Linked DNA regions of Oreochromis niloticus. The protein of the gene in region 1 purifies or fractionates together with the protein of each later gene. This does not show direct contact. Links are inferred from orthologs where the notes say so. Each region holds a gene or a part of one and is shown in the gene's direction. Other genes may lie near its edges. The genes, in order: wdr76, xpc, hells and parp1.

What was found.
Region 2: the proteins of wdr76 (region 1) and xpc purify together in Homo sapiens (affinity purification with mass spectrometry; 3 studies listed by BioGRID and IntAct, with this or other methods). This does not show direct contact. The link is inferred for Oreochromis niloticus from reciprocal best matches to the Homo sapiens genes WDR76 and XPC.
Region 3: the proteins of wdr76 (region 1) and hells purify together in Homo sapiens (affinity purification with mass spectrometry; 4 studies listed by BioGRID and IntAct, counting the BioPlex papers as one, with this or other methods). This does not show direct contact. The link is inferred for Oreochromis niloticus from reciprocal best matches to the Homo sapiens genes WDR76 and HELLS.
Region 4: the proteins of wdr76 (region 1) and parp1 purify together in Homo sapiens (affinity purification with mass spectrometry; 4 studies listed by BioGRID and IntAct, with this or other methods). This does not show direct contact. The link is inferred for Oreochromis niloticus from reciprocal best matches to the Homo sapiens genes WDR76 and PARP1.

Annotation. Positions count from the first base shown.
Region 1 is NC_031965.2:28,107,318-28,115,466, reverse strand, and holds the start of wdr76 (WD repeat-containing protein 76), read left to right. Parts: upstream 1-4,852; 5' UTR 4,853-5,010; coding exon 5,011-5,055; intron 5,056-5,253; coding exon 5,254-5,364; intron 5,365-5,447; coding exon 5,448-5,537; intron 5,538-5,713; coding exon 5,714-5,806; intron 5,807-6,074; coding exon 6,075-6,133; intron 6,134-6,638; coding exon 6,639-6,756; intron 6,757-6,882; coding exon 6,883-6,984; intron 6,985-7,250; coding exon 7,251-7,291; intron 7,292-7,432; coding exon 7,433-7,586; intron 7,587-7,827; coding exon 7,828-7,986; intron 7,987-8,062; coding exon 8,063-8,149. Other genes in the region: pro-cathepsin H, read left to right, coding at 1-44, 152-256, 940-1,026, 1,126-1,181, 1,302-1,383, 1,474-1,542, 1,841-1,947, 3,276-3,404 and 1 more. UniProt on the Homo sapiens protein: Specifically binds 5-hydroxymethylcytosine (5hmC), suggesting that it acts as a specific reader of 5hmC.
Region 2 is NC_031984.2:25,596,328-25,603,784, reverse strand, and holds the start of xpc (DNA repair protein complementing XP-C cells), read left to right. Parts: upstream 1-4,319; 5' UTR 4,320-4,524; coding exon 4,525-4,636; intron 4,637-5,469; coding exon 5,470-5,772; intron 5,773-5,905; coding exon 5,906-6,002; intron 6,003-6,561; coding exon 6,562-6,646; intron 6,647-6,723; coding exon 6,724-6,881; intron 6,882-7,065; coding exon 7,066-7,186; intron 7,187-7,288; coding exon 7,289-7,378; intron 7,379-7,457. UniProt on the Homo sapiens protein: Involved in global genome nucleotide excision repair (GG-NER) by acting as damage sensing and DNA-binding factor component of the XPC complex. Has only a low DNA repair activity by itself which is stimulated by RAD23B and RAD23A.
Region 3 is NC_031978.2:31,195,160-31,202,978, reverse strand, and holds the start of hells (lymphoid-specific helicase), read left to right. Parts: upstream 1-4,734; 5' UTR 4,735-5,132; coding exon 5,133-5,140; intron 5,141-5,750; exon of another isoform or gene 5,751-5,892; intron 5,893-6,094; coding exon 6,095-6,192; intron 6,193-6,453; coding exon 6,454-6,572; intron 6,573-6,927; coding exon 6,928-7,050; intron 7,051-7,140; coding exon 7,141-7,182; intron 7,183-7,264; coding exon 7,265-7,298; intron 7,299-7,819. UniProt on the Homo sapiens protein: Plays an essential role in normal development and survival. Involved in regulation of the expansion or survival of lymphoid cells. Required for de novo or maintenance DNA methylation. May control silencing of the imprinted CDKN1C gene through DNA methylation.
Region 4 is NC_031980.2:10,088,235-10,096,201, forward strand, and holds the start of parp1 (poly [ADP-ribose] polymerase 1), read left to right. Parts: upstream 1-4,774; 5' UTR 4,775-4,917; coding exon 4,918-5,040; intron 5,041-6,171; coding exon 6,172-6,334; intron 6,335-6,887; coding exon 6,888-7,003; intron 7,004-7,116; coding exon 7,117-7,331; intron 7,332-7,337; exon of another isoform or gene 7,338-7,386; coding exon of another isoform or gene 7,387-7,967. Other genes in the region: si:dkey-206f10.1 (adenylate cyclase type 8), read left to right, coding at 28-243; adenosine receptor A1, read right to left, coding at 7,387-7,967. UniProt on the Homo sapiens protein: Poly-ADP-ribosyltransferase that mediates poly-ADP-ribosylation of proteins and plays a key role in DNA repair.

The DNA of each region.
Region 1 (8,149 bases):
CATTTGAGGAATTCAAGAAATTCTACCTTTTCACGCAACCTTCGGTAAATTACCTGATTTTATAACACTGCACACAACAGGTGCTTTTGTACAGAGTGCTGGAGTTTGTCTTTGATTTCCTTTATAATCTTTTGATTTTCGCATCTTTTAGACCTGCTCAGTCATTAAAGGCAGTCATGTCAAAAGGACAGGTCCTTATCCTGAGTTTGTAGACTGGAGGATGAAGGGCGACTTTGTGACTCCTGTGAAGGACCAGGTATCCTCATACGTTCTATAGCTCTTAAAGCCTTTATAGCCATATTCTCCTTTTGTTAAGGAAATATCGTGCAAAGTACAATATTTACAAAGTCGTACAAAGTCTGTATTTTTTGTGCTTTCTTTGAGTTGCATTGAAGCACAAAAGTGCTTGCATTGAAGTGTTTAATCTCCAGAAATATTTTGCTAAACCTTAAAAATGTACCACCTTTCTGAACAAATACACAGTGTCAATTTTTTTTAAGATGTAATGAAAGGAGAGGAAAAAACTGTGACTCTCATTTACTTGTAAAAGTGGCCACTCTTATGTTTCTGCTAGTAAGTTATAATATTTACCCTTTTTTTCACTTTCATTTTTACAGTTATATTCTATGAGAAACATGTGGCGGGACACGTTTCATGACTAAACTGATCAGTGAGAAACAAATACAACATAAAGAATATGTTTTCTACATGTGCAATTTTTTTTAAACAACATACCTCAGTCACAGCCTCTGAGAGAATATATTCTATAATATATTATATTATTAAATATTCTAAATAGAGAGTTTCATTTACAGATGGTTTCTTCAGTTTTCATTTACATTTTACAGCACCAAAAATTATCGTGGTAAGCATTTATATATTTGTGCCTCTTTAACATAACTGAATTATCAGTTGTTTGAGTTGTGTTTGTATCTTTAGGGTTTTTGTGGCAGCTGTTGGACCTTCTCCACCACTGGCTGTCTGGAGTCAGTGAATGCTATTGCTACTGGGAAACTAATACAATTGGTAGGAGTTATTATTATACACAAATATAGCTGGCAGAAGAAAAGTATCCATTGTTTCTGAGTATATTCGATTAATGCTCTTTATTTATCTCTGTTTTAGTCTGAGCAGCAGCTGCTGGACTGTTCCAGAAATTTTAGCAACTATGGATGCTTTGGGTAGGAATCATGTTTGTTTGGCCTATAACTATAACGTGTAAGATATTTTATGTTATAGAAACAGCATAATAATATAAGTATAGAATTTCAATCAATCAAAGGCTGTGTGGTTTATTTCAGTGGGTTCCCCAGTCAGGCATTCGAGTACATCAAATACAGCAAGGGTCTCATGAGAGAGGAGGATTATCCCTACAAAGCCTTTGTATTATTTTTGAGAGTAAAATCTTTCTTTCTTTATTTTTTTACATATGATAAAATATACAATAAAAAAGTTTTATCTTTCCTGTTTTAGGAGGAAAAATGCCATTTTGAGCCTTCACTTGCAGCTGCATTTGTCCAAGATGTTGTCAATATAACAAGTGTGAGTGTGCGAACAAATAAAGTTGCACTGTGGATGAAATTGTACAATAAATGTGCTGTGTGAGTGTCTTTGCATATGCTGGTTAACAAAACAACAGATCAATACAGTAAAATGCGTTTTTGTTGTTACCCAATGGGGGGGAAAAAGTAACTGTTTTAAATAATCTGAAGCAGTTTGTCTTATATATATTGTTTAATTTTTACTATTAAAAAAGGCAACTGTTTTATAGTAAATAGGGAACTCCTCATACATCGACCTACTCAGGTATATGTTATAATTTGTGTGTGCCCATTCACAGTATGATGAAAAGGCCATGGTTGATGCAGTGGCCCGGCTCAATCCTATCACCTCCTGCTTTGACGTCACAGCTGAATTTAAGCACTACAAAGAAGGTGTTTACTCCAGGTGAGATCAACAAGCACTCATGCATTTACTACTATTCAAGAAGTAGAGCTGGTCTGGGATTTTAAGAGCAGACCAGAATATACTAGCCTCACTTTGTTTCTGTTACTTACACACTAATTTAGACAGACAAACAACATATTTTTACTATTTGGATAAAATCCTTTGCAAAGAAGTATAAAACATTTTTTTTAAGCCTCTGAAAACTACAAATGGGGGACTGTGTATAAAGAAGTATCTCTATGATGACTGTCATACACAGTGTTGGGGAGTAACGGAATACATGTACCGCCGTTACGTATTCAGAATACAAAATATGAGTAACTGTATTCCGTTACAGTTACCGTTTAAAAAGGTGGTATTCAGAATACAGTTACTTTGTTGAAATAAATGGAATACACGGCGGTACTTCCCTGTTTCATATTGTCGCGGGTCAGGATTGTTTGGGTTTGTTTGACAGCTACGTTCTGTTGTTCCAGGCGGCAGCGTTACGGTTGCCATGGTTACAGGGTGACGCGCTCTCTCTCTGCGTGTTTCCTGGGTGAGAGAGCGCTTTTTTGTTGTTGTTGTTGTGCTAAGCTAAAAGGCAGAATGCTACAGGCATAGCTCTAAAGCATGTAGCCTGATGGGCAGTGTAGTCCGTGCGGCAGGGAGAATGGACTACCATACCCGTTATGTGTCTGTGAGCGAGGGAGGGAGAGAAAGGAAAAGTCCGAGCTGTCACGGAGCAAAAACGGGAGCTGGAAGCATGTAAATATAATAATAACCACTGCAGCCAAGAAGAGTGCCTGAGGAGCCCATTTGTAAGTAAGCTATTAAGACTCAACTGTACACTGTGTTCGTGTTTTCCTCCGGAAAAAATAAGTTCCGTTGGAGAAGCCTTTCAACGCCTCTCTCTGTCTCCCGCAAGCAAAGTTGACCCAGACAACAAAGTAAAGCTAGTTTTCGGCTACCAGCCCGACACGAACCCGACGTATTAGCCAGAGGTCCCTTTACTACGTTTCGGAGCCGCGGACCTTCAGTAACAGTAATAAATCACAGCAATAGGACATTCATGTAGTTGTAAACAGCATGATAATATATTAAGTACTCCAAAGTATTCAGAATACGTTACTCTCATTGAGTAACGTAACGGAATACGTTACAGAATACATTTTGGGGCATGTATTCAGTATTCTGTAGTGGAATACATTTTAAAAGTAACCTTCCCAACACTGGTCATACACCACATATTTTGCAAATGTAGGATGTAATATAATATTGAAAGAGACAATCTGCCCACTCAACCTTCAAAAGACATGTGCTCTATTGATCTAGTGTTGTCTATTTAGCACCCAGTGTAAGAACACAACAGACAAAGTGAATCATGCAGTCCTGGCGGTGGGGTATGGCACCGAGAAGAACGGCGTGCCGTATTGGATTGTGAAGAACTCTTGGGGCACAGCCTGGGGAAAGGATGGGTAAATATAGTCTGTGTGTATCTGAGCTTTATGACTTGTAACAGCTTGCAAGAATTCCTGATATCTCTCCTTTTTATTTCATCAGATATTTTTTGATCGAGCGTGGAAAAAACATGTGTGGACTGGCTGCCTGCTCTTCTTACCCTCTACCTTAAGCATCTAAATAAAAGGGCAACAAAGTGGAAACTCTTGAGCATGTGTGTATCGAAATGTATTTTATTCAGCCTAAAGGCCTGATCTCAACTTACGGTTTCTAACATGTTTTCTGGAAGTTTAATTTCTAAACACCTTATTATGTTTTTCTTAAAACTGAGACATGAAAATTTTGAGTCAAATGCAAGAAAAGAAAAATTCAATCATTACTTTAAGACACAAACTCATTTTAATAATTACATTTTGGGGAAAGGAAGCATATGCTTTACATTAATACAGATGTACAGTACTTCTTTCTAACTATTCTTGTGCACTTAGCTATACTGCATCTCGACTAGTATGTATCATCATGTTTGCACAGGTTTATTACATTAAAACACCTTTTCCCCATTCAGTCTGTCTCACAATAATAGATGAAGACGTTTCAGTGTAGCTATGTGCATGTGTATTATAAAATGCATAGGTAAGTGTAGCACAGAACTATTTTTCTGTTTTTCCACAAGCCTAAAAAAATGTGATAAAAAACATAATTGTGTGGATGTGTATGTTTTTCCAAGTGATCTTGCGATGTTTACAAAATTCATTTTAAATAGTGTGTTTCAACATGGTCTAAGCAGTGCTTGTGCGTAAAACCTCATCACTAATGTCTATCAAGAGGCTACAGTGGGTGCATACATAGATTAATTACTGACTAATAATCATAGTATGGTATATCATACTTTAATAACTGCTTTAGTGAAAAACAGATTTTTCTAACATGACCTATAGTGCTCCATGGAAACAATATAGGCCACATATTTCAACTCAAGACCCTGGGGCCAAAGGCAGGCCTTTGCAAATTACATGCCAAACTAAACAAATAAAGATTACATGTTGATTTTACAGCAGCATTTATTTTTATGCACCATTGTTGATTATAGAACATTTGTTGAGAACTTTATGTGGCCCAAAATCAGGACATGAATTAATCATATTTTAGGTTTTTGATTATCTGTTTAATCTATTTCTTTGCAAATAAAAAAAGTTAATGTAATGTGTGTTTCTCTCATATATAAAGATTTTCTGTTTTATCCACTGACAAACGTTGGCAGTTTGTTTGTTAAACGTTAACCAATAGCATTTGTGAATAAATAACCATGACTTTCCTGTCACTGCTATTCCCCTATCCTGCCATAAGATGGCGACATCATCCCAGCAGAAGCTGTGGCCAGCTTGGCTGTTGGCGGGAGGGACCTAAACCTTTCTTCTCGTGACGTAAAAATATAAACCAATCAGGTGCCAGTATTCTGTTTCACAACAGAAGGGGAGGACCAGTTACAAAACATATGCAGCATGTGGCGCCAATTGCGCCCCCCATGTAATTATCGTGACCGTAATAGTTGTCACTTGAGAGGTGTTCACGTCTCGCTTCTCTCAAACAAATACTCGTATCTGTCATTGTAAATGAACTAAAATGGCGACTCTCCGAACAAAGCGCGAAGCTCTTGTGCTTGTGAAGGTACAGTAGTCTTGTTTTGATGTGGTTTCCTGTTTTTAAACTTATCCTCCCTGTTTTAGGCAGCTGCCTCATAGCATTAGCATCAAGAAGCACAGTTTTAAGTGGAGGTGTGTTGTGAGTTCGCTAAATCTTCGGTGAGAAAGTTGAATGAGTGCCTTAATGTCTCTGAGTAAATTGTTAACGAGGGACACCTTGCAGGAAATGACCCCTGAGAATCTCGAGGCGACAGTGCGACGATCATCTAGAAACGGTCTTGCACCTAAACGCCTCCAGTACTCTCCCGAGGAAGAAACTCCCAAGAAAAAAAGGGTGAGAGCTCGTTCACAGTGATGGGACCGAACAGTCATTTTAAAACTGGACGATTTGTTAAATCTGTCGTAATTTCTTGATAGAAAACAAAAGCTGTCGCTGAAAATGGCAGTCAGAATAAGAAACCAAAGGATGAGGAGGATGCTGAAAACAATGACGTGGAGCATGCACCTGTGAGTACAGAAACTTTACACAGTTTGAATTCGACTTTGTGACTGACAGAAACATGTTTTTATAGGTGTCTGTGCAGGTTCTCAGTCATCCAGCTCATGGTAGTTTAAGGAACTTCTAATGACTTGAAATCGGCAATTTTCTTGCAGTGTGTCAGTGCTGTATCTTTGTGTAACAGGAAGAGTATGGGAGACTTTCTGCCTATGAACTGGAGCGCCTGGAAAACATCAGACAGAACCAAGCTTTTCTGTCTTCTATCAACTTATTCCAGGTATGTTATTGACTAAATCTGCTCTTTATCATCTGCATTGCAAATCTTTTATGGACCTAAACCTATCACTATCAGCACCATCAACATAAAGTCTAAATTCGACCAGCAACAGTTGACATGTAGACCAGCTACAAGCCATATTTACTGGTGTAATTAACCCAGGTAGACTATGAGTGAGGAATAAATCCTTATGAAAAGGACCATATCTGTGATTCTGTCATTTGTCTGGATTATCAGAGTATCAATTATTGTTTTCTTTTGTTTAAAGGCCACAGAGGAGTTCAAGCAGCTGACTCGACCAAAGCCATCGCAGAGAGGCCTCACAAGGTACAGTCGGAATAATCAGGCATCGGGATACTGTGGAAAACCACAGTGGTGCAGAAATTATGAGAACAACATGGTTTTTCCCCTCCCATGTTTTCTCTGTGGAACATCACAGTGCTCCTATAATATACTTTGTATTTGTTTTTGAGACTGAACTTTGTGAAGCTCAGGAAATAAGACTAGACTTGTCAACTCAACGTCATTAAGTACGAGAAAAAAGCAGGGCTCGCAAAATCGCTAGCCTGACGTCCCGGGGCTAGTGATATAATAGCCTGTCAGGCTATCATATAGCCCAACGGGCGGGGCTGAGATAGATTTTGGTCGCCCGACTGGAGATATCGCTAGCCCCGGGACGTCGGGCTAGCGATTTTGCGAGCCCTGAAAAAGTAACTTTTATGTTTGTGAATGTCAGGAAAAACAATTTGAATTTACCCTGACCCTGTGTCATGTTAAAATAGGAAACATATCTTTTTGGGCCTCCTGTAATGTTACATTTCTTTGATTGCAGGGCACATGCTGCTGTAAAAGAAGTCTTGCCACCTCGCAAATCACTGCGACTCCAAAAAAAAGAAGCCGAGATCCTGGAACTTCCTCCTGAACCGAGAGGGACACTTATTTATGAACAGGTACAGAAATCTGTAATGTCTCAGTTCACGCAGATCCACTGCTGCACCTTAAGTCTCTTTAGTTTTTTTTTCTCGTTCTTCCTCTCTGGGTATGTTACTCATTATAGTTGTTTACTTGCTTTCAAGTCTTCACCAGCAAAGAAGCCCTCTGGCCCTTTGCCCATGGATCCAGTGAATGTGGAAGAAGGAAGCAAGCTGCCTCCACAACTTCTTGAGCTCTGCTCTGAGGTAAGAGTCGGTTTTCTATGATATTTTCACTTTTTTCTGTACAATATTTATTTACAATGCTCACTCAGTTTAACATGTTGCCAGATCTCCAATTTTGGACTAAACAACCCCCCCGCCTTCTTTCCTACTTAAAAGTGAATACTTTATACTGCCCATATTAGCCACAAGCATAAGAACAAAATTCCTAACAAATTTCTTATGCATATCCAGTGTAGTAACTGTTCTTATTCAATTAGGAAGTCATGAAATTGCTTTTCTTTTCACAGGATGCAAAAGAAGATAAAAAGATACAGCTTGACCTGAAAGGGTAAGATTTAATATTTTTATTTGGATGTAAGATTACCGCACAGTTTACAAAAAGTGACTCTTTTGATGTACTGAGGGTCAGATGTTTTGGAAGAACCTGAGAAACAGATGAAGAAACAAGTGCACTGATGTCTGAACACAGGTACCGTTCTTCTGTGAAGAATATGAAGATAAATGAGGACAAAGTGGCCAAAGTGGTGAAGGATCGCATCTTCTCTGCAACCTTCCACCCCTGCACCAGCAGCCTGTTGCTGGCTGCGGGCGACAAGTGGGGGAAAGTGGGACTCTGGAAGTTGGTGAGTTTTCTTTGCCTTAACTATGCATTAGTTCTTGACCACTAGATGGCAGAAAGTGTCTCAACAGTAAAGCTTCATGTCAGGCTGCAAAATTCATAAGTGTTCTCCTCAGGCTAATTGGTCTGCTTCATGTTTGAATTCAGGTTTGTTTTTTGCTTTTTGTGTTTTTTTTGCTCTGAAAAGCTTTATTTAATCAAATGAATTCCAACCACTGATTTACTGCATGTGTACGTTCTTCTAGGGAGGTGACTGGGGAGATGATGGTGTGCTGCTCTTTCAGCCCCACACCCGTCCAGTGGGCTGCATGGCATTCTCCAGGTCTCATCCCACACAACTGCTGAGCCTCAGCTACGATGGATCCCTCCGCTGCATGGACGTAGAGAAGGCTGTTTTTGATGATGTAGGATACCTTCATTAGTTGAGTTCAATCTGGTTACGTTGTAATCCACGAATAAATAAGGTTGTTCATTTTCTAGGTGTATGATATTGAAGATGGCCTGAAAACGTTTGATTTCATGTCACATGACTGTTCGACACTAGTGGTCGGGAACTGGTATGGAGAG
Region 2 (7,457 bases), on another chromosome or scaffold:
CTTTATCAGCAGAATGAAAGTGCTTTCTGGCGGTATTTGAATGAGACAGAAAAGAGCCCTATTCAGCCCCTCTGCCTGGCTTTTATTAACACTGCGCGTCACTGAGGCGACATAAGCCTCCCCCCCCTCGCACCCTCTCTGTTGCAGACAGACACACTCACACACACACACACATGCGCACACACACACATAAACAGAGGGAGGTCTCCTGTTCAGGTATGATGATGCCTCCTCCTCGCTTTCCCCCCACAATCCCTCTTTTTTTTTTGTTAGCTCCTCCTCACTTGTGGGCTTTTGTTACCTCACCCCCTCCTCCTACTACTGTCCTTTTCCACCACACCTCCCTCCCTCCCTTCTCTCTCACTCTCTCTCTCTCTCCCTGCTCTCTCTCCGTCTGTTTGCCTCTGCCGCTGAATGAAAATACGCACAGATGCGTAAAGGGGCGGTCAAACTCCACATATCCACCGGTGGCAGCGGCAGCATCACTGACCCTATCTCTTTGAGGACGAGAGGACGGGAGCAGGGAACAACTATTCTTTTGGACAATTCTTCAGGCCCTCGAAGAGAAGCCCAAGCGCGACCCCGGAGCCCACCTGTTTGAAGCCGGACACTGTTTGCTCGAATCAGAGCTCAGAAGACGCCACAGCAGCAGCAGCAGCCCGAGAGGACACAGGGAATGCGGGTACTGAGTCAGAAGAAGAACCTGCAGGGTCCCGGCTCGGATGCACGGATGCTCGCTTCTTCATCTTCTTCTACCCCCCCACCTTCCCCTTTCTCCTCCTCCTCCTCCTCCCTCAAGCTGCTGTTGCTCGTCTGTGGCGATCCAGAAATAGCAGCAGCTTGTCTGGAGGTTGTATGAGAAAGCGTCTGAGATGTGGGGTTTATTTGCGGTAGTTATGTTTTCAGCTAAGAATTGCCCGTTTTGTGAATTTGTGTTTGTGTGTGTGTGTCTCTCCCTCTTGTCGCCTCTATTTTGAGTTTCCAGCTTTGATACCACTTAGTGTGCTGGAGTCGTACTAATTAGCGGCCTGATTGACAGCTCGGTAATTGGATTTATTTCATATCCGCTCCTTGAAGTTGCGAAGCCTCTTAAGGCACAAGAGGAATGGTTTCTGGGGCTTTATTTCTTTAGAAATCAATAATAACATACCTACTCCAGACTTGTAGGGATTTTTTTAAGAGGGAGAAGGAGGGATTCTAATTTTAATACAGTTTCTTGCCAAATTCTCAATCCTTTTGCTAAATCCTTCCTGGGGCTTAGGAGGACAGCAGATATTTCAGCATTAAAACATAAACTCCACTGTAGAAATATGTCTGTTATTGAGACAGATCTCAGTCTTACATGTGTTAGCAGACATTTGTTTATGGGGATAATCCAGAAATGGCCATATATGGTAGAAAAAGTGGGGGATTCAAAAACTATCAAGTAATACATTGTGTTAAGTGGACTTAAAAAGTACCAAGCTGCTTTAAAACCAAGAGTGTCCAAGTGGACAACAGGTGCTCACTGGAGGAAAATCTGCCCCCTTTATAACTTACTCAAAAAAAAATCCACATGTAAGAAGCAGCACAGATTAGAGCGCGTGAAGAGAGATGATATGGAGAACGTATGCTCCAATTACGTAAGACTTTAGCACCAAACAACCAAAATCTATTATCGATGTTGATTTTTTATGTTTTTAAACCTATATATGTTAACAAGAAGGTAACTGCCTCATTTAATCAAAGAAAAAAAAAATTCAAATGAACATGCATTGTAAAAATTTTCAAACATTTTCCTGTACTTGTGTTGCAAATTCACATGAATTGCCTTTGGGAAAGCTTTAAGGGGTGAAACAGATGTCCTTGTGATATATACATATATATGGATACATACAGGGTAAGGTAAAGCAAAGACCCTGTGTGGTTACTCAGTATCCAAAAACAAGGTCTTTGCTTTCGAACATGGTGTTTACTACTGCTATTTATATTGTTATAAAAATCTTCTACACCATACACTGGGACAGCTCGCGCTGATCATCATCAATACAGATCCAGCTGCCGTGGAGACAACAACGTGGGCATAAAATAGCCCGTGTCCTTGCATTGTGGATGTCAAACCTGTTGCCACACCTCACCAACACTTGCCTTTGACAAGGCTTCATGTACTCCCCATCTGACTTGCAGGCTGTTTTCTGATTAGTCTCGGTGTGACACTGTATCTTCAGCATACCTGGAGTGCCGTGCAGAGTCATCTCCTATAAGCTCGTTTTTCTCTCTTGGTTTCTGTGTCCTTCACCTGCTCTTATCCTTTTTCGAGTTTTTCTCGCCCAAGGGAGTTTCAATTGAATCTCTTTCCATCTATCATCCGACTCCATGCGTGTTTGTGAGTGTGTGTGTGTGTCCTTGCTCATAGAACTCAGTCCTTTCAATGCCCCGTGCATTGTATGGCTTTTTATTCCTATCTGACTGTACTTATGGTTCATATAGGGATGGAAGCCATGCACTGCGCTGGGAGCAAAGCGCACACGACCATGGACTCCTGCCATGTCACCTCACCCATCCACATGCTAAGGACTATATGTATAAGCACACTCTTAGCCTAGCCTGCATGCTCACATATGCATGCACGCATCCACATAATGGTCAAGGCAAAGCAACTAACAGAAGTATGGACGCACACGCGCTCCACACATAAACGCGCATTCATTTATGCGTATGCATGCAGTATGTATGCATATGTATGGTGTATGCAGTACCTATGGAAAGGGCCCCCTGGTTTCAGGAGGCTCTTACTGCAGTGAGTCAGTCTGAAGCTGTCTGACTGTATCAGCTGACAGATGGCTCTCTGAAGTGAAACACACACACATCTGCCACAGAACCTCAATGTGATCGATACAGATCACAACAGGGCTGAATGAAAATTAAATTGAACTGAAATGAGCTGAATTGATTCAGAACCAAGAGGCAGAACTTGTTTGGTGTGTCACGCAGACCCCGGCGCAAAATAACAAGATGAAGAATGCGCTCAGGCATCATCATTTACCCACTTAAGTCTTTTTCAGGGTTCCAGTGGGAAAATGAAAATGAAAATGAAAAATCCCCCCAAAAAACAGCATCGCGCTCGGTGGAAGGCAGTGACACGGTTGACACACAGATGACCAAAAAAAACCACCTCCCAAAAAAACACTGATATCTGCTTGTGTAAAGTTTTAGAAAATAACTGTGAGGAAATCCCTGTTCACAATACCTAGAATAGCACAGGATAAGGTGGGAAATAGTATTTGGGGATATACTGAATTGGATCAACCCCTAAAAACAGTGGTAATAAGTATTATTTGGACTGATGTACAATTAATTCAGTCTTGGAGTGACACAGTGGAGCAATACACAGAGCTTTGAGTCTGTTGTGTTTGCTTCTGCATCACATGACATGACACCAGCTTTTCTGCTTCTTATTTCTGTATCTTTCTGCCAAGGATTGTTTTTTCTTTGCAAACAAGGTGATTTTGACAGACAGCTGAACGGGCCTTTTAATGGTCTCATGTCCCTGGTGATCATGCAGAATCTGTTCAGCAATGTATTAAAGTCCAATCCAAATTCGTGACTGGCTTTTTTCTGTTTTCTTTCCAGTTGTTGCTTCGTCTCAACACATGCTTCCGGGCATACTGGGGTCTGTGGTGAAAAAAAATCCATTTATCAAGGGAAGACCATTTAAAAAGTTCTCATGAATCATATTTGGCTGCTTTTATTGAGTGGAGCTCAGGGTGGTTTGCATTAGACAGTGGATAACAGTGTTTTTCATTTTTCAACCTCTCGCTCTCATTCTCAGCACAACCACTGACTTCCACTGATGACACCGCATGCTCAGTTACAGCCTGTTTGATAACACTGAACATCAGCCCTTTCACTCATGTAACAGCAAACATGCTTAGTTACCACTAAATCACATCAAACATGTACAGTAGCTAGAGGTTCTTCTGATATTGTGTCTCTACTGTAGTTTTCTACTGTTGAACTCACTGAACATGCTTCTGGCTAAATGCTTCATTATATAACCTAAAAGAGATCACTGGCTGTTAAAAACGAGTATGAATATGAAACCTAACTATCAGGAGCATGTGGAGCTGACCTTTGTCGAGGTTGAAAACCTTATGGAAAGCACAACACCACCCCTTAGCGCCCAAAAGTGGTATTACACCTATATATATATATATATATTAGACCATAAAGCCATTTATAAACAAATGTTGGTGTCAGCCTACTTAAAAATACCCAGGTGTTAGCTTGTAATTATAGGGAGCTGAATTGGGTCTATTTAGTGAAGAAGAAGAAGAGGACAGGAGAGCGGATATGACGTCATGGTCCGGCCTCCAAAACAACCGGGTGTAGTTTCTTGTGTTATGAAAACTCCTGAATGGCAGTGTTAGGTAACTGTTGTTTCCTCGCCCTTATACAACAGCATGTGGAGCTCTGACGGACTACTGCTCTTCTAGCTCTGGATATTATTATTCAACGAAAGTTTTTCCACTGACGGCAGCTAGCATGGCGAGGAGAAGAGAGTGCGCAAACACGGGGGGCGACACAAAGAAACTGAAGCAGGTGCTGAAAGCGAAGAGCAGCGGGGCAAAAACAAGAGCGAAGAAGAAAGATGCTGGTATGAAAAGTCGGAGTTGCCTAAAATGTGTGTCTGTCATTTAATAAATGAAACCGCTAGCCCCCAATAGTTAGCAAACTAACTGAAGTACAGGGGAGGTTAGCTAAGCGGTCTGTGCACAGTGAGCCTGGGTTCATGAATAAACTTGCACACGTTCATCTGAGGAAGAGTTTCACACAGATGACTAACATCAGCATCAGCCGTAGTAAATGAAAAATACTGCTTCACAATATTATAAAATAGTGGACATGTAAAACACATCCTCTGTCATCCATTCCCTCTGACTGCTTTTTGTGCAGTTATAGCGTGACATGAATATAATTTATGTCACAGATAAATACAAAGCTTCAGTTTATTGGGGAGAATGCATCATATCGAGCTATTATAGCCATCACCATAAAGGCACCGTATGAGCATCCAGGTGCACTGCTGAAAGATGTGCATGGTTGCTGAAGTGGATCTACTGGCCCGGATGCACATCTGTGCTCCACATAACAAAACACCAACCATATTTTGTGCATAGATGGTGTAAGTGTGTGTGTTAACTTCCCTTCATGCTTTGCGGTAAATCATTCATAAACTGTGGTTTTTATTCAGATAAACAATGCTGTTTCACCTCCTACAGTAACACAAAAATGATTCTCCAGATAATTAAGACACTTTTGTCAATTTTCTGTAGCAAAAAAAGAAAGAAAAACATCTCCATTCAGAAAATTGGCTCATAATATAATGCATTTTTAGGGTGGTTGTACTTCTGTTTTGTATTGAAGTGTTTTCCTTTATTCTCAGTCAAGCACAGCAGCTTCAAAACATCTTTCCATCTGTTTTACCAGGTGAGGACATCACAGATAAAGAGGAAAAGATAGAGAGGAAGGTCATCCCTAAGCCACGTGTCCCCTCAAAGCGAGCAGCAGGAAATAAGTTGTCTTCCCAATCTGACACCGGCTCTGCTGTCAATACCAGCAAATACTTTGAGTCACCCATTATGGAGGAGAATGATAGCGAAGATGACTTTGATATGGTGACCTCCCCACCACGGCTGCTTAAGGTGAACACCAAGAAACCAGAGAAAGAAGAAGAAGGAGTAGGGGAGGACAGTGAGGAGGAAGATGAGGATGATTGGGAGGAAGTGGAAGGTAAGTGTAAGATCGGTAATATTTATGATTACGCATTCCATGTGTTTTGTTTGTTTTGTTTTGTTTTTTATCCTTATGCCAAGCAGGGAGCAATTGAAAACAAAGGAAATGAATTGTGTGTGTGTGTAATCAGAGCTAGCTGAGCCGCTGGGTCCACTCGAGCCTCTAGAACCCGTCCTGCCCTCTGAGCCTGTAGAGATTGAGATCGAGACCCCAGAAGTCAGAAAGAGGTAAGTGAATATAGAGTATAGAATATGCACATGCTCAACATGAAATTCTAAAGTTTTGAAAATAAAATAGTTCTTTAAAAAAGAGTTGCAAAACAGACTTTTTTGTGATATTATTTCTTAAACAGTTGAGGTGTTAATCTGTGTAAAATGAAACGAACACAGGAAGACATCCAAAAGTCAATCAAAATAAATAAACCTCATTATTAAAACTCAGGAATCACTAGCATAATTTAAATTAAGGCTTTTCTTTAGTTTCATTGTGTTCAAGCTCTGAGTTTAGTTTGGTTTTATTTAAACAAAATCAATCTGAATGTAGCTCCAGACATTGTTAGCTGATGTCTCCAAACTCCCGACCCTCTCATTATATTCAGGAAAACATTTTTGGGTCCCGGAGTCTCATTCAAATGTACATTAGTATGAATTTTCTCCACAGGTGTCAGGAGAGGGGACCTGTAATTGTGCGTTTATGTGATTAGCTTGTGGAAAATGCGTTATCTATGGGTGTGCAGTTAATGGTATATTTGTTTTAAGCCAATAATCATGATTTCTGATTGGCCAGGCGAAAAAAGCAGGCGGAGCTTGAGACGTATCTGAGGCGAATGGTGAACCGATATAAGAAGGACCTGCTGATAGACACCCACAAGGTGAAAACACGCTCTTCAGTTCTACCTTTCTTCACTAGCTCATCCCTGGCTTTCCTAACCTTTGATTGGTCTCTTAGGTCCACCTCATGTGCCTGATTGCCAGCGGCATGTTCCGCAACAGGTTGTGCAGTGAACCAGACCTGCTGGCCATCACTCTGTCGCTGCTGCCTGCCCACTTTACCATGGTAGCTAAGGACCGCATTGACCAAAACTACCTCTCTGGGCTTCTTAAATGGTATGTACTTATAAATGTGAAGTTCCTGAAATTATTTTAATGCCAGAATGTGTAAAACTGAGAAATTTTCACAGTAGGGACAATAGAGCTACTATTCAGAAGCCATCAGTCACTGGTAGCCTTGTATAATTAGCACCATATCTTATGATTCCATTTCCGTCCATCCGGCTCTCTTCTTTCCCAGGTTTAGAGCAACATTTACCCTCAACTCCAGTCTTCACTGTGAAGAACGTCCGGACCCCCAGAGGCTCCTCGAGAGGCGACTGGCAAGCCTCTCAGCCAGAAATCACGAGGAGATGACTCACGTTAGTAGTTTGGCATGAAACCGGTCCATTTTCTATAAAACAGTCCCCCTAGTTGGACGTACAACTGAAAAATAAATAATTATGCGCCTGTGTTTCCTGCAGCTGTTTCTCTTGGTCCTACGCTCTCTGCAGCTCTTCTGCCGATTGGTCCTTTCTTTGCAGCCGATTCCTTTCAAAGCCCCATCAGCCAAGGTACTGACAGTTTGTTGCTTTTCCTTTAAGAAGACACTGCGGTATAATTACAACAGTCACATTTGGATAACTGCTGCAG
Region 3 (7,819 bases), on another chromosome or scaffold:
TTTAGTGTAGTGTAACAGTATATGTACATAAACATTATGTATATATCTGTAAAATCAGATTTGGTTCTGTTTTGTTCCAACCATTATTGAAACAGTTTTCACTTTCTCTGCATTAAATTTGTGGCTGAAGACAACTGTAACTTGGTTGCTCAAAATGTAACACTTAAATTGAAAATAAATATTGTATTACTGGACTGTATGAAATGGGAGGATGTGTCTGGGAGTTTTAGTAAGATGTAAAAAAAAAAAAAAAAAAAAAAGTGTATTTATTTAAGTTTTATGGCATATCCGCTGTCAGATAACACAGGGTCTGCAAATTTCTGCGTCTAACCACAATACTGAACACTGAGTTGCATATATAAAATACAATGTTCGTTTCATAATAAAGGCGACTGGATTCAGTTTGAAACAAACTCTGGATAAGAAGAAGTCACAACACGATGGTCATTGTGTGTGTCGCTGGATGCACATAAATTGTAAGGAATTCCACTTGCTGTCCTGAAATAACCTGTAGCCTGAACCCCTGGAGCATCAGTTAATATTAGCTGAGCTGAAGCATTTGAACCCTAAAACATGTCATTTTAAATACTCGGCAAAGAAAAGAACACTGAGGCCTTTCTGATCAGACTTTGCAATATCTGCAGACTCAACTGTGGTTCAGCTGTCCCTCTGGAGGGGGGGGCGAGAAAAATCCAAGATAATATACACTCTCAGTCAAAGGTTTGGACACACTTTCTCATTAAATGTTTTTTCTTTATTTTCATGACTATTTACATTGTAGATTCTCACTGAAGGCATCAAAACTATGAATGAACACAGATGGAATTATGTAAACAGAAAAGTGTGAAATACCTCAACATGTTTCATATTGTAGATTGTTCCAAATATCCACCTTTTGCTTTGATTATTGCTTTTCACACTCTGGGCATTCTCTCCATGAGCTTCATGAGGTCGTCACCTGAAATGGTTTTCCAACAGTCTTGAAGGAGTTCTCACAGATGCTGAGCACTTGTTGGTCCTTTTGCCTTCACTCTGCGGTCCATCTCATCCCAAACCATCTCCATTGGGTTTAGGTCAGGTGACTGGAGGCCAGGACTCATCAGACCAAAGCACAGATTTCCACTGGTCTAATGTCCACTCCTTGTGTTTCTTGGCCCAAACAAATCTCTTCTGCTAGTTGCTTTTCCTTAGTCGTGGTTTTATGGTCAAATAGCTTAGCAGCTATTTGCTATTAGTGTTTGATGGGTATTGCAACTGCACTTGGGGACACATTCAGAGTTTTAGCAATTTTTAGGACTGACTGACCTTCAGTTAAAGTCATGATGGACTGTTGTTTCTCTTTACTTAGCTGATTGAATCTCTCAACCTGTCAGTTGTTTACCAACCTGACTTCTGCACAACATAACTGATGATCCCAACTCCATTAAGAAGGCAAGAAATTCCACAAATGAACCCTGACAGGCACACCTGTGAAGTGAAACCATGTCAGGTGACTACATCAGGAAGTTCATTGGGAGAAGGCAAAGGGTTTGCAGCGCTGTCAACAAAGCAAAGTGTGGCTACTTTCAGGAATCTAAAATATAAAACATATTTCTATCTATTTAGTTATTTATCCATTTTTTCTTTGATACATAATTCCATGTATCTTGCTTCATATAGCTGATTTCGTCAGTATGTATCTACAATGTACAAAGTAGTAAAAATAAAGAAAAAGAAGGTGTTGTCCAAACTTTTGACTGCTAGTTTACATGAAGAGGGAAATAGCTGGATTTCAAAAGCACAATGGGAATGAACAAAATATAATCCAGATGAAAGAATAAGATAAATGGAAGAAAAATGAACAAAAGTAACCAAGGTTAAAAACAAGAAAATGAGAAAAGGATAATTACAGTAGTAGGAGATAAAAACTTAAAATGGTTCTCTAAATTCTCAGAATTGAGTCTGCTGATTTCTGTAAATCTCTGAAAGTTTAGTTCAGGTCTAAATCCTGCAGCAATGCAGATTAAAGCCTCTAGTCACAAACTGTCAGACCTTCAAGGACCAAAGTTCATTTATCAGCTGCTTATTTACACAGGAGCAGTGTCACCAGGTATAATTATATGTAATGGCTAAACATGTTTTAATTAAACGCCTATATTTGCAGCCGCCACTGATAGATGAAGTGAATTATGTTTGGGATTTAGTTGCTGTGTTCATCCAGGAATCTTTGTATGCTGCGATTTTGTGTGAATGTTAAACATAAGATAACCTTTATTATTAGTCCCACACGTGGGAAATTTGTTTTGTCACAGCAGGAAGTGGACAGTGCAAAAGTTATGAAGCAAAAATTAGAATACAATAAGAATAAATATAGTACACAACTGTACAGAATAGAATAAAATAAAATAAAATACTATATACAGTAGAATAAAATATACAATAAGATAAAAATAGAATACAAATGCTATATACAACTGAGTAAAAATACAACGATGCCAGAAAGGAGTATTGCACATTAGTGTTATTGCACATGTGTGGATGTGTGTGTTTGATCAGTTGAAGTCTTTGTTGTGAAGTCTGACAGCAGTGGGGAGGAAAGACCTGCGAAATCTCTCCGTCCCACACCGTGGGTGCCGCAGTCTCCCACTGAAGGAGCTGCTCAGTGCTGTCACAGTCTCCTGCATGGGGTGGGAGATGTTGTCCAACAGGGATGACAGCTTAGCCGCCATTCTCCTGTCACTCACCACCTCCACTGGGTCCAGAGGGCATCGTAGAACAGAGCTGGCCCTTCGGATCAGCCTGTTCAGTCTCTTCCTGTCCCCAGCAGAGATGCTGCCGCCCCAGCAGACCACACCATAAAAAATGGCAGAGGCCACCACAGAGTCATAGAAGGTCTTCAGGAGTGGGCCCTCCACTCCAAACGACCTGAGTCTCCGCAGCAGGTACAGCCTGCTCTGCCCTTTCCTGTAGAGGGCGTCTGAGTTATGAGTCCAGTCCAGTTTGTTGTTCAGATGAACACCAAGGTACCTGTAGCTGTCCACAGCCTCAATGTCCATACCTTGGATGTTCAGTGGTTGCAGTGGAGGATGTTTGTGCCTGCGAAAGTCTACCACCAGCTCCTTGGTTTTACTGGCATTGATCTGGAGGTAGTTCAGCTGGCACCAGTCCACAAAGTCTTGGGTCAGTCCTCTGTACTCCTTGTCGTCCCCATCAGTGATAAGGCCGACTATTGGAGAGTCATCAGAGAACTTCTGCAGGAAGCACTGGGTGGAGTTGTGGGAGAAGTCTGCAGTGCAGATGGTGAAGAGGAACGGAGCCAGAACCGTTCCCTGTGGGGCCCCCGTACTGCAGACGACCCTGTCCGACACACAGCCCTGAGTCCTCACATACTGTGGTCGGTCGGTGAGGTAGTCCAGTATCCATGCTGTGAGGTGATGGTCCACTCCAGAGTTCTCCAGCTTGTCCTTCAGAACTGAGGGAAGAATGGTGTTGAAAGCTACTGTCCACTTCAGTATGGCTGCAAAACAACACAGCCTGGGGTAGCTGAATATTTACACGTGGACTGCTGTTTTATACCGAGCTCATCAATAATGAGTATATATTACATGGTTGTGTCACTTATCTGAAGTCTGCAGCATGAATTAGTCAGAGACATAACTTTCATGCTCTTAACCATTAATAAAAAGGTGCTGGTCATACAAACAGTTGAGGGCTGTTCAGAATTATAACTATTTGCATTGCAGTGAGTATAAATGAGTATAAATCATATCATGTCCTGACATGATTCACACCTACTGGCTAAAGAAAGCACAAATGAACCAGCTGCTAATGTATGACACACACCTTGAATGGCTAACTGAAGGGCCAATCCTGATTCTTGAAGTCACTGGTTTCATACAACTATTCAATTTTTAAATTCAATTTTATTTATATAGTGACAAGTCACAGTAACAGTTGCCTCAAGGTGGTTTCTATTGTAAGGTTAGGACCCTACAATCAGACGACCCAGGTGAGCAAGTGCTTTTCCTTGGAAGGGAAAAAAAAATCCCTTTTAAAAGGAAGAAACCTCCAGCAGAACCAGGCGTAGGGAGGCCTGGTTTTGGATGTCAGGCAACCATAGCGGCTTCAACAGGTTGTGGAGGATATTTTTGCAAACCATTCCATTTGCAAAAGAATAGCTAAAACACTATGAAGATACTTCACTACACAATGTATTATGGACAGGTTGTATCCAAAATAAACAGTTATTCTGCAGAAAATATTTCCCATCATTACTGTTGAAGGCTTCTATTTAATCCTGAGTCTGAGGGATTAAAACTATTAATAAAAAACAGCTGGTGCCAGCAAACAAGCAACCGTCTAGTTTCCCGACTGAGAGAGAGGTTTTTTTTTTGTCATTTGCTCACTGCACAGCCTTACATTCGCGGGAAAAATCACATCAGTTATAAAACATCTTTCCACTCAGAGGGGTGACCATCCTCTTAAAATAGTTTTGTCTATACATACGATATTCTGTAATGTATAAATCAGACAACCTTTTAATTATTAGTTAATTAATTACAATTTTTTTTTGCTACGTTTCGATTAATGTGAACCAAAATGTTATTATCTTCTACCTTAAATCACACACCACCCCGTTTCACAAATAGTGGTTTCCTCCGAAATGGCGCGAAATTGGAAAGCTCCGCCCATTATAAAAATCTTAGCTTCAGGACTGTAGAGACAAATGGCGGAAACTAGATGAATTTGCCTTCAAAATAAAATACAATCGTAACTTCAACGTAGCTTTTTCGCGGACGCACTTTTTGTTTGAAAGGCTGCTGTCGGAAGTACATTTCATATTTCTGTCTGCTTAATAAAAAACACGTTATTCGGGCTGCAGAGTACTCACGTCAAACTCTTTTCGTTGAATGTTTTTTCACGTTTTAGAGAAAGGAACATTTTCGGACATACTGCTCCGACATTGCACAGCTATCATAAATACAAGCAGTCAGCTAGGCTAGGTAGAGTGAGTTGTATGACTGTTTGGATAACTTGCTTGTGTAATTGACGAAGCTCTGCTGTTTTGAGCAGAAACGGAACGCTTTGAAAAGCTTCACAGAAAGCTCGAAGAACCCGCATAATTTGGACTGTCTGCATCGCTGCCAACAACGATGAGTTGGTAAGTGTAATGGTCGCTTCACTCACCGCAGCTACCGCGTTTCACAGAAACTTTTATTTACGGTGCAGGAAGTCGCTGCAGTACGGCTCTGAACGATATGCGTCGGTAGGTGTCGCCCCTCAGACACTAAGCGTTTTTTAGGAGAATGCAAGACCGGAAGCCAAGACTTTGTCCAGTGTCCCCCCCCCCCAAAAAAAACCCACTAAAGTTTTCACCTACGCCAACATCTCCTTCTGTATATGTGTATGTCTCTGAGCTGCTGTGCTGGAATATCATTAAATCCGACACGATCGTACACTCGCGCCAGTAACAAAACTCGAGAGGTACGCGACACATGTGTGACGCGTGGAGCATACGTGCACTGTAATAACTCGGCTCAAAGACCTGTACAGGTGAACGCAAAGGCGGCAGTATGCCCGCTGTAATACTGCAGCCCTGAGTCTCCTCGTTCCTAACATAATAGTTACAATTTCCGATAAAGTATCATTTTCTTCTCTGTAAAGCTTCGATGCACGTTTACTGTTACCAAGGCCACCGTGTGTTGGACAAATGCACCCTTACAACTCCCACCCAGAGAAAAAATAAATAAATAGCATACATCCCTTTTCTGCAGCGATCTGGAAGATTTTTTTTATCACCATTAATTAACCAGAAGTTATAACAACAACTTGCAATATTCTGAGTCACAGATGTTCACCGATTATCACGTTTCAGACAGCACAGAAAAACTGTCTGAAACTGCATCCTGTATGGTAAAGTATAGTATCTACATTAGCTTAGCACCAAAGTTATATGCAGAGTATTGAAATACTCGTGTTGTATTTCATCCCTTCAAATCAAATGTATCATTTCACCTCGGTTACAGGGCCTAGGAAGGGTCTAAATGGTGTTTACTCACCTCTGAAAAATGGCAGGAAAAGTTTTACTGAGTAGATTTCATTTTTCTGCTGATAGCCTAAAAGAAGAAACTCGAAGTGTCTCCCCTCACTGCCCCAAACCTGACGAGTCTGAGGAGCCGCTGGGCACAGCCATTGAAACTGGTGCTACTGAAGGTAAGTTCCATTTTTGACCTACAGAGCTGCAAAGCAAGCTGAGATAGAGCCAGTTTGATGAGGCATGTGCTTTGCTGTCATGTTGCTTAATTCTCAGGTGACACTGATGAGATGTGGCCAGTTCATTAGGAACAGGGCTCCATATCACATGCTCATTAACTAGTAAAGGCTAATTATCTTACACTTGTGTTACTGAAAAGATGCTGTGCACATAGACTTGTTCAGGTCGTGTCACTGTCAGTGTTGTTGTTGTTTTTTAAGATGAGAGTATGAAGTCTGAGGGAATAACACCTGAAGTGGTGATTACTAAGGAAATGGAGGAAGAAGAGAAGAAGCTAATGGAGCAAGGCGAGAGGAAAGAGAAGGAGATGATGAAAAAGGTATGTCGTTTAATTTCTCAACGTGGGAGTTGTATTTTTTAAACTATCCAAAACTGGCATATTTTATCAGATTAAATGTTGAAATTAATAACTTCTCATTATTAAACTCATTAGTTTTAAAACATTAGTAAAAGTAAAACATTAGTTTTAGTTGGGTTGTTTGTGTGGGTGCGATGCTGGTACAGATTTTAGGGAGTAAAAAGCGTATAGATGTGTGTCTGTAGCTCACCGGTCCACAAGATCAGGGAGTTCATGTGATGATGAGCCACAATTGAGATGTTTCTACATCACTGATGTGCTGGACGCTTTCGAGCCCACTCATGTTAATGTAATTGCTTTCAACCTTTCCCATAAGGCCAGGGAGTCTTGGGAGAGGGACTCGCATGACATGCGGTTCAAGAGGCTCCAGCATTTGCTTCAGAAGAGCAACATCTATTCAAAGTTTCTGCTGACAAAAATGGAGCAACAACAGAATGAGGTATGGTGTAAAATTTGGACCGTACAGACTTTTTGCACCTGTTCACTCAAGGCTAACACGTCACTTCTGCTCTGCTAATGACCATCTCAGGAGAGACTCAGGAAGGAGAAACTTGAGAAGAAAGCCAAGAAGGTGATAGATTTATTGAAAAAGTCATCATTTACAGTTACAATCATGTTTCCAGCCATACTCACGGCAGTTTGTTTCCTTTTAGAAGCAAAATGCCAACGGTGCAGAAGCTGACAGAGGTGAGCCAGTATTCTAATATTTAAACTTACAGTATGGAGCTCAGATGTCAGTTGTTTAGTAGCATTTACACTCTATGCACACTTTATTAGGTACACCTTGCTAGTACTGGGACCCTGTTGTGCTTTCTGTCATAATTCTAGCATAGGTGTTGGAAACAGTCCATACTGGCATTTTACCATCATACAGTTTGCAGATTTGATGGCTGCATATCCACAAAGCAGCTCTCCTGGTCCACCACAACCCAAAGATTGGATTGAGATCTGGTGACTGTGGAGACGATCTGAGTACAGTAAACTTCTGTCATGCTGGAGAAACTGATCTGAGATTTGTGGCATGGCACTTTAATCACACTGTGGGTACACTGTGTTCATAAAGGCGTGAATGTGGTCATCCACAATACTCAGGCTGTGCAGTTTAAACGATGTACAGTGGGGACAAAGGGATGTGTCAAGAAGATGGCCCCACCTCTGCTACATCACCACAACCAACCTAAACCATTAATAGAAGTGAGGATGGGGCC
Region 4 (7,967 bases), on another chromosome or scaffold:
CTTTTTAATCTATGTTTTCCATTGTAGGTAAGTGAGCACCAGGGGAAAGTCCGCACCTACTTCATCAGGACCGTGCGCGGTAAGATGGCCAACGATGGGACAGATGGCCGCCTGGCAGGGCAGACAGGAGGACGCATGACGCTGGCAGAGGTGGTGTTCAGTCTCGTCCAGGCCAGACACAAGGAGAAGATGAGAGAAGGCAACAGGAGGTTCAATCGGACTCCCTCCAGACTGCAGCGCTGAGGGGACTGTCAGGGTCAAATGGCTGCACGTAGGCCAGGACACACTGGAGCCATATTCCTTTAATGCTTTGCCATAACTGAATTAGCTTCACAGACAAAATACTGAGCTACCTGTGGCAGGAGCCCAATCCTGTTTAAGCCTTGTTTCTTCCAAGACTGCATCATACCCATCTTTTTTGGCATCTCAAGAAAATTTTGGACAAGTTAATAGGAATTTATGGGAAATCATCCATGCTCATATTTCTATTTCTTGACTTCTGGACCAAAACATTCATCTTGCATGACACACCGAGTGGTATGTGGTCTGAACTTTAGTTGGTTAGGAGCTAACTGAGCTATCTAATCAAAGTTCTGGCCTCTTACGTTTCACAAGTATGTTGTAAGCAGTGCAAAGTGCTTTTTCATCACTATTATTGCCATATCTATACACTATAAGCACTGATTTGAAGGTTGTTTTGTAAAAAGAAAAAGAAAGAAAGAAAAAATCAACATGTCTTTATGTTTGCTGGGATAACACATCAGCAAGACTCCAGACCTCCAAGCAAAACACTACCTCTTAGTACAAATTCTCCTAGACTACAAATGGCCAATATAGAATGATGTTTGTTTGTTTGTTTGTTTGTTTGTTTGTTTGTTTGTTTGTTTGTTTGTTTGTATTATCTTAATTAGTACATTTATGTTGTGAAGTCAAGCATTATTTCTTCTTTATATCCAATAATTTCAAATATGTTAAAGAGATTTTGGTCACTATAATTCACTCATGCAACATAATCCAAAAAGAAAAAAATCCCTTTATTTATAAAGTGATTGCTGCTCGGTTTACTTTTGTAAATACTGTATTTGCATAGTTTCCACTGAGCCAGTATTTCTTGTTTTCTATCTTGTCAGAGTCAGTGTTGTTCTGGATTTATGAGATTCAGAAGATGAACACTGAAACAGTTTTAATGCCAAAAACACCTTACATATCACTGTATTCCTCTTACTGTCATGGTAAAAAGGAAAGCACAACCTCTGTCAGTACTAAGGTTCTTTGTGTTAGGACCTAAAAAAAATCATTTCATCCTTACAAGATCTTAAATGCATTGAAATACAACCTCAGATGAATAACACCACATGTAGAAGCAATGTGTGAAAGACTAGGTACACTAAGTCCACCTCCATAGCTTGTAGAACCACATTTAGCAGCAATAACTTGATGTAAATGTTTTCTGTAAAACTTTATCTATGTGAAGGTCCTCAGTCATCCAGGTCATGGTAATCCAAGGGGCTTGGAAAGAAAAGCGAGTGGACTCCTTTAAGTTTCACCTCTCATCCGTGAAGCTTCTTCATTTCTACGATCAACTGGTGGAGAGTCCCATATTTAGGCCCTAATAAACTGGCCAGCCAGCCTTTGTAATATTGTTTGCAGGCAATCATTTATGCACAGCTCTCTTTCAGTATTTCAGTCAGTTAAGGTCTGGTCTTTGACCAGGCCATTGCAACACCTTGATTCTGTTCTTTTTCAACCATTCTGTTGTAGATTTGTTTCTGTGCTTGGGATCATTTTCCTGTTCAATGACTCAATTACAATTTTTCCCATGTGACTCTAGAATACTTAGGAATACATAGGAATGACTGCAAGGTCCTGTTGCTGCAAAACAAGCCCAAAGTATTACAATTCCACCACCGTGCTTGAGAGCTAGTATGAGGTGCATGTGCTGATATGCTATGTTTTCACCAAATATGATGCTGTGCATTGTAGCAAAAGATATTATAATAGTGAGATATATAATATAATAGTGAGAATAAGCTTTCTCACTATAGAATGATGGACATCAAATTGTTTGGAAGTTTCTTTATAAACCTTCCCAGACTGATAGGCAGCCTTTGCTTTACTCCTTGTCATTGTGTTAACACACAACTGAATGCAGCAGACCATCAAACTGCCAAAAGTTCTACTTCTATATAGGTGCTCATACTCACTGACAATCAATTAATCAAGTGCATTTAATTAGCAAGACCTGTCTGCTACTTACTCTGTTAATTCCTATGGAAACAGTAAGAGTGCACTTAGTTTTTCACACTCTGCTTCTGCACTTTGGCTTAGTTTTTGTGGACGACACAGTGTAATATGTCATATGTTGATGTTATTTTGTTGTTCAACTGAAGTTTCGGTCCTAACTAAGAACCAGAGTGATTATGTCCAGATATGTAAAATGGTGTACTTTCTTTTTTCTTTTCTTTTTTCTATTTACCTTGATCATTTATTAAAATCAAACAAATCGTGATGTAGGAATGTTTTACATTGCAGGTCTGATTCAAACTGACACAAATTCACGTCAGTCTTTATTTTGTTTGTCTTTTAACTTCAAATATTAATGTTAAGCTCCTCTATGGGACTTTGTGCAGTTTTTAAATAGATAACAAAGACATGTTTAATTATTGCTACAGTATAGAAATGTTCACAGCGAATAGTACGTCTGTATCAGCAAAACTTTTTACTTCATTTTTTTAATATAATTTTTACAAAAACATTCAAACCAGTCCAGTTTCTACTAATAAAATCAATTATTACCATAAAGCTGGGTGCTTTTAATTTTTTAACTCTGTATTATTAATTATTAATGACACGATACTCTTATTAAACTCTTTTTTTGAAGGTGTATTCTTCTTGGAGGTGTGTCTTCCTTTCTTGAGAGTCACGACGATTGCTCTTGACTCCATTAGTTCTGTCTGCAGCCAGCGCGGGTCTTCTGCAGCCGGCTCACTGATGCTCTATTTTGAAAGATGGTTCACCCGGAAGGTTTACAGAAAGCTCGAAAAGAATAAACATAATCTCTACAGAAGTTAGCTCATCTACAGTAGTGTCTAATACTCCTTTCCTAGACATAAACAAAGGTTTCCTGACAAACACTGTAGACTGTAATCACATACTGGTTTATTTTCCATTACATTTTTCAATTAAAGTTCTGTAATAATTACAATTACAATTACAATTACAATCTTTATTTATAAAGCACTTTTCATACAAACTGTAGCACAAAGTGCTTTACATGGTTAAAAGCAGCCCACCCCACCCTCCCACTCATTCCCCGCACTGTCATTAACAGAAGCGGTCATGATACACACATCCCCCCCCCACACACACACACACATACACACACACACACCTAAAGAGTAAAATTGGGCTGGGTACGTATTAGCCAAGTGAGGAAACACTATCACAGGGAGCTGTCTGCACCGGGAGCCGGTCACAGACCGTAGCCTCCAGGCTGGGCACACAGCAGGAGGGAGGCAAAGAAGCCCCCCAGCCAGGTTCAGAGGACCCACAGGGCCCCAGCAGCCACGGTCGATCACAGCCCCGGTGCAGAGAACCCCCCTCCGAGGAAACACTGGAGATATGACCTAATAAGAATATAAACAGGATAAAAAGATAAAATAAATAAGAGTGGGATATAATATAAATATAAGTATAAACAGAGTAAGAAGATAAAAAATGAATAAGAATACAATCAATAGGTATTAGGTAAAACTAAATGAATAATATAAATAGAATAACAGGATAGAATAAATAAGCATTAAATAAATAAGCGTTAGTTAAAAGCTAAATTAAAATATCATCTCTCTGAATGCTGTTTCACTGTTGTCACAGGACAGAAATATATTTATTTTCCTATTTTTGTCTAAAATTAATCAAATATAAATATATGGTCTATAAAAAGCCTTTATAAAAGCCTTAAGCATAACAGTAATATAATCATATAATCATAATAATCATATAATAAACATAATAATACAATATATTAATCATAATAATGTTAATAGTCACAGTGTTTTTCATGTATCTGTTGGATTTTGTATAGTACTGAAGAGAATTTATGTGTTTCTTAAGTCAAGATGCAAATCTAAGCAGAGCTGTAAAGGTTTTGTTGTTGTTGTTGTTTTGTTGTTGCTGTTGTCTTTATTTTTACACAATTCAGTTGCATATTTTAGTAATTTAATGTTTAAGGTATGTGTTAATGGATTTTGTGTAATTTTGATAAAGTTTTGAATTATTTTCCTTTAGATCTTAATTCAGTTCTGGTCTTTAGTGTAGGTAGGTACTTTATTAATGCCAAAAGGGACATTACTGTAGGATAAAGGATTTAAAAAATGCATGGAAACAATGAAAACATCATTGTACCACAGTACACAGGTGCGGTACCACAGGTCCGGAGTAAAGGCCTTAATGTGACACAGGGCAAACATTTTGTATGCATACACAGTGATAAAAAAAGAAATGATATAGCCTCTTTATTACGGATATTATCTGCAGCACATGTAGCACACTATGCATCACAGGCTCTACTCCAGAGGCTAAACTCCAAATTTCCATGTCTTTAAATCCTTAAAATCTCACTTTAAGACATATGGATATTCAGCATACATGTCACCTTCACTCGCTCATATCTCACTCAGGAAGAATGAGATTGAGATTGCGAGTTTAGAGCTGTAGTTTTCCCAGATGAGAGAGCCGCTGGTGCGGTGGGAAACAGAGACAGAGTGAGAACTCTCCACGTGACTCTTCTCTCTGCAGGCACGCGGGCTTCTCTCCGCCAGTGCGTTGATTGTTGCGGTTCCTCGTCACCCGAAGAAAGTTGTTCGGCTCGTGGTGAATTTGCGTAGTTCTGTTTTAGTATTAAGAAATAAATCAACTATGGCAGACTCACAAGAGGACAAGCTGTACAGGGTGGAATACGCCAAAAGTGGCCGCGCGTCGTGCAAAAAATGCAAAGAAAACATAGCTAAAGACTCGCTGAGGATGGCTATCATGGTGCAGGTAAGGTGGCGACGTGTGGAGGCAAAGCTGCTCCGTTAACTAGCTTGCTATCTGGGTGCTGCTATCTGCGTAAAGCATGCGGGCTGTTGTACGGGTGTAGTGGATGGGTAGGAGCAGACTGGAGAGTAGGAAAATATAGCTTATGGTGTGGTTTGAGTTGCGCCGAATCAGGCCCTCGTTAGCATTTAAATGGCTGACATTGTCTGTGCACTCCTGTCCATCACAAAGAGCCGCGGAGCCTTTTTGTCTCTGTCTGGCTATTATGCATCTTGCAGTTCATGAGCTAATTTAATTTATGCTTGAAGGCTGCAGATATTCAGAGTTTGTCTATCCCAGAAGACAAATAATAGGAAAAAAATCACAGCACACAGAAGCAGAAATACCACTGCGTGGAAACTGCTGCTGCCCCACAGAGAGGTAATCACTTAAAGAGTCGGAGAGCTGCTTATGTGGCTGCCTGTTTACTCATGGTTGATGGAACAGCTCCAGATTCTCAGGTCACTCAACTTTTCTCTCTAAAGACCTGTCACATTCAGTCTGTGTAATTCATACAAATCAGCAGAGTGTAAAGTACTTTTTGAGCACTTAATGCACCTTTTTTTTAAGAATGTAGGGGTCACACAGGGCTCTATTCTTGAGCCACTTTAGTTTACACCTTGTATAAAGTATGCCTTAGTAAAAGATTTTTTTTTTTAATCTTTGTATATGAACCTTAAAAAATGTGCTATGTCCTAAATATACAATATTTATTCAATTTTCATAGCTATACATGCTTTCTTTTTTGTTACCTGCCCAGGGACTGTCATTGCTAGAAAACAGCATGTTTACATCTTATTTTTTTTAATACTGATGTCCATAAAAAATGTCTCAAAGCCATGGGCTGTTTGTCAAAATTTTGCACAACCTGGATTTAACTTAAGAGTTAGTTCCAAAGTATCTTTGTGTCATGCAATAAATGGATTGAATGCCCTACACATAACATGGCATTGGTAAAGAAAAGAGATGATTAAATAAGTCTGGCAGGAAAATATTACCCTTCTCAGGCATCATATAACCATCGAGCTGGAAGAAGCAATTAGAGACACTTTACACTGTAAAATAAAACATCTGTGTTTGTTTTTTGTTCTCCAGTCTCCCATGTTTGATGGGAAGGTCCCCCACTGGCACCACTTCTCCTGCTTCTGGCAGCGAGCATCAGCTCAGTCCACCGCTGATATCGCTGGGTTTTCTGATCTCCGCTGGGATGACCAACAGAAGGTGAAAAAGGCCATTGAAAGCGGTGGCGCCGCAGGAGGTCAGTACTTAAGTTTTATTAGGCTGTGACCCCTCGTGGAAATGGTTGGTCGACTTAATTAATGTTATCTTAAGCTTCCTTTAGTTATTATAGGCAATCGAAGGAGTAACAGTGTTACTAAGCAGCAGTTAAACATTGCCTCATCAAAGAATCAATCAGTGCAGCAGCAAAGAAAAATCATAAAGTAATTTCATTCTTTAGTGTAAATGCCCTTATCCTGAGAGGATAACATAATTACCTGCTCAGTCACAAGAATTTATAGCAGTTGACTTTGGAAAGAAAATCAAACCCTGTATTATATATTTTAAATGGTTTCCTGATGACTAGACTATAGGTGAAGCTTTGGTAGGCTTATTTAGAGCTGAACACTGAGTCTGTCAGTCATTTGAATGAAAACAACTGACAGCCATTTCAATTGTAGTTGGTCTGACATAACTCAGATTTAACCTATACATATATCTATACATCTGTAGACTCATCATGATATATGTTTTATTACATATAACTGAACCAGCTATAAAAAGATATAAATGTTCAATTTTTGATCTTGTAGGGAAAGGTGACCAGAAGGGTGGCGCTAAAGGCGAGAAGACGCTGAATGACTTTGCTGTGGAATATGCCAAGTCAAACCGCAGCACATGCAAAGGCTGTGAGCAGAAAATAGAAAAGGTTTGGGACCGCTTTTATTGTCTGAAAACTGCTGTTTAAATGTAATTATTTAATTATCTGGTGGCTTAACTTTGTCATTTTCCCATAAATATTTGATCCATTTGAACCACCAGGATCAGATTCGTGTGTCCAAGAAAACTGTGGACCCCGAGAAGCCACAGCTGGGTCTTATTGACCGCTGGTACCACACGGCGTGTTTCGTGAGCCGCAGGGAGGAGCTGGTTTTCAAGCCCGAGTACAGCGCCGCTCAGCTGAAGGGATTCAATGCACTGCGGGCAGAGGACAAAGAAGAGCTCAAGAAGAGGCTCCCTGCTGTCAAATCTGAGGGGTGAGCCAAAATGATTTATTCGGTTTGAAGCCTGGGATTAAAGTTATGATCAGGTCTAGCGTTGATCCCCACTGTTGGTCTCATTTAAAGCCTCTCTGTCCACCACTGTCCTGCAGCACATAAAAATAGCTTTAAATGTGTCCCTGAAAGCCGTCATGGTGTAGGCATAAAGGAAAGGGTTGACAGCAGAGTTTGCGTGTGACAGGATGATGGCTGTGAGCAGAAGCTCAAGAGGTACATAGCAGCGTGGACAGAGAAGCAGGAAGCAGTTGATTATGTGAAGTGGGATCCAGCAGACCGTAAAGAGGAAAAGAACCAGAAAGAGAGAAGTAGCCGTCTTCATCTCTCGTCGCATGCTGGCCGCGGTCCTGATTTGTCCGTCACCTCTGCCGCTTTGCTCAGATGTGATGCGCCGCACTTGCCGCTTAACCGTGACAAAGATTTGGGCGTAGATGAGGAACATGATCACCAGAGGAGTGAGCACACAAGCGAAGAAATTGAAGTAGACCATGTAGGTCATGTCCACCACAAGGACAAAGAAACAGTAGCCCGTGTCAGGCGGCGTCTTGTGCCAGCCCATCAGAGGCACAAGTCCGATGAGAAACGCCAGAATCCATGTGGCGAGGATCACCAGCA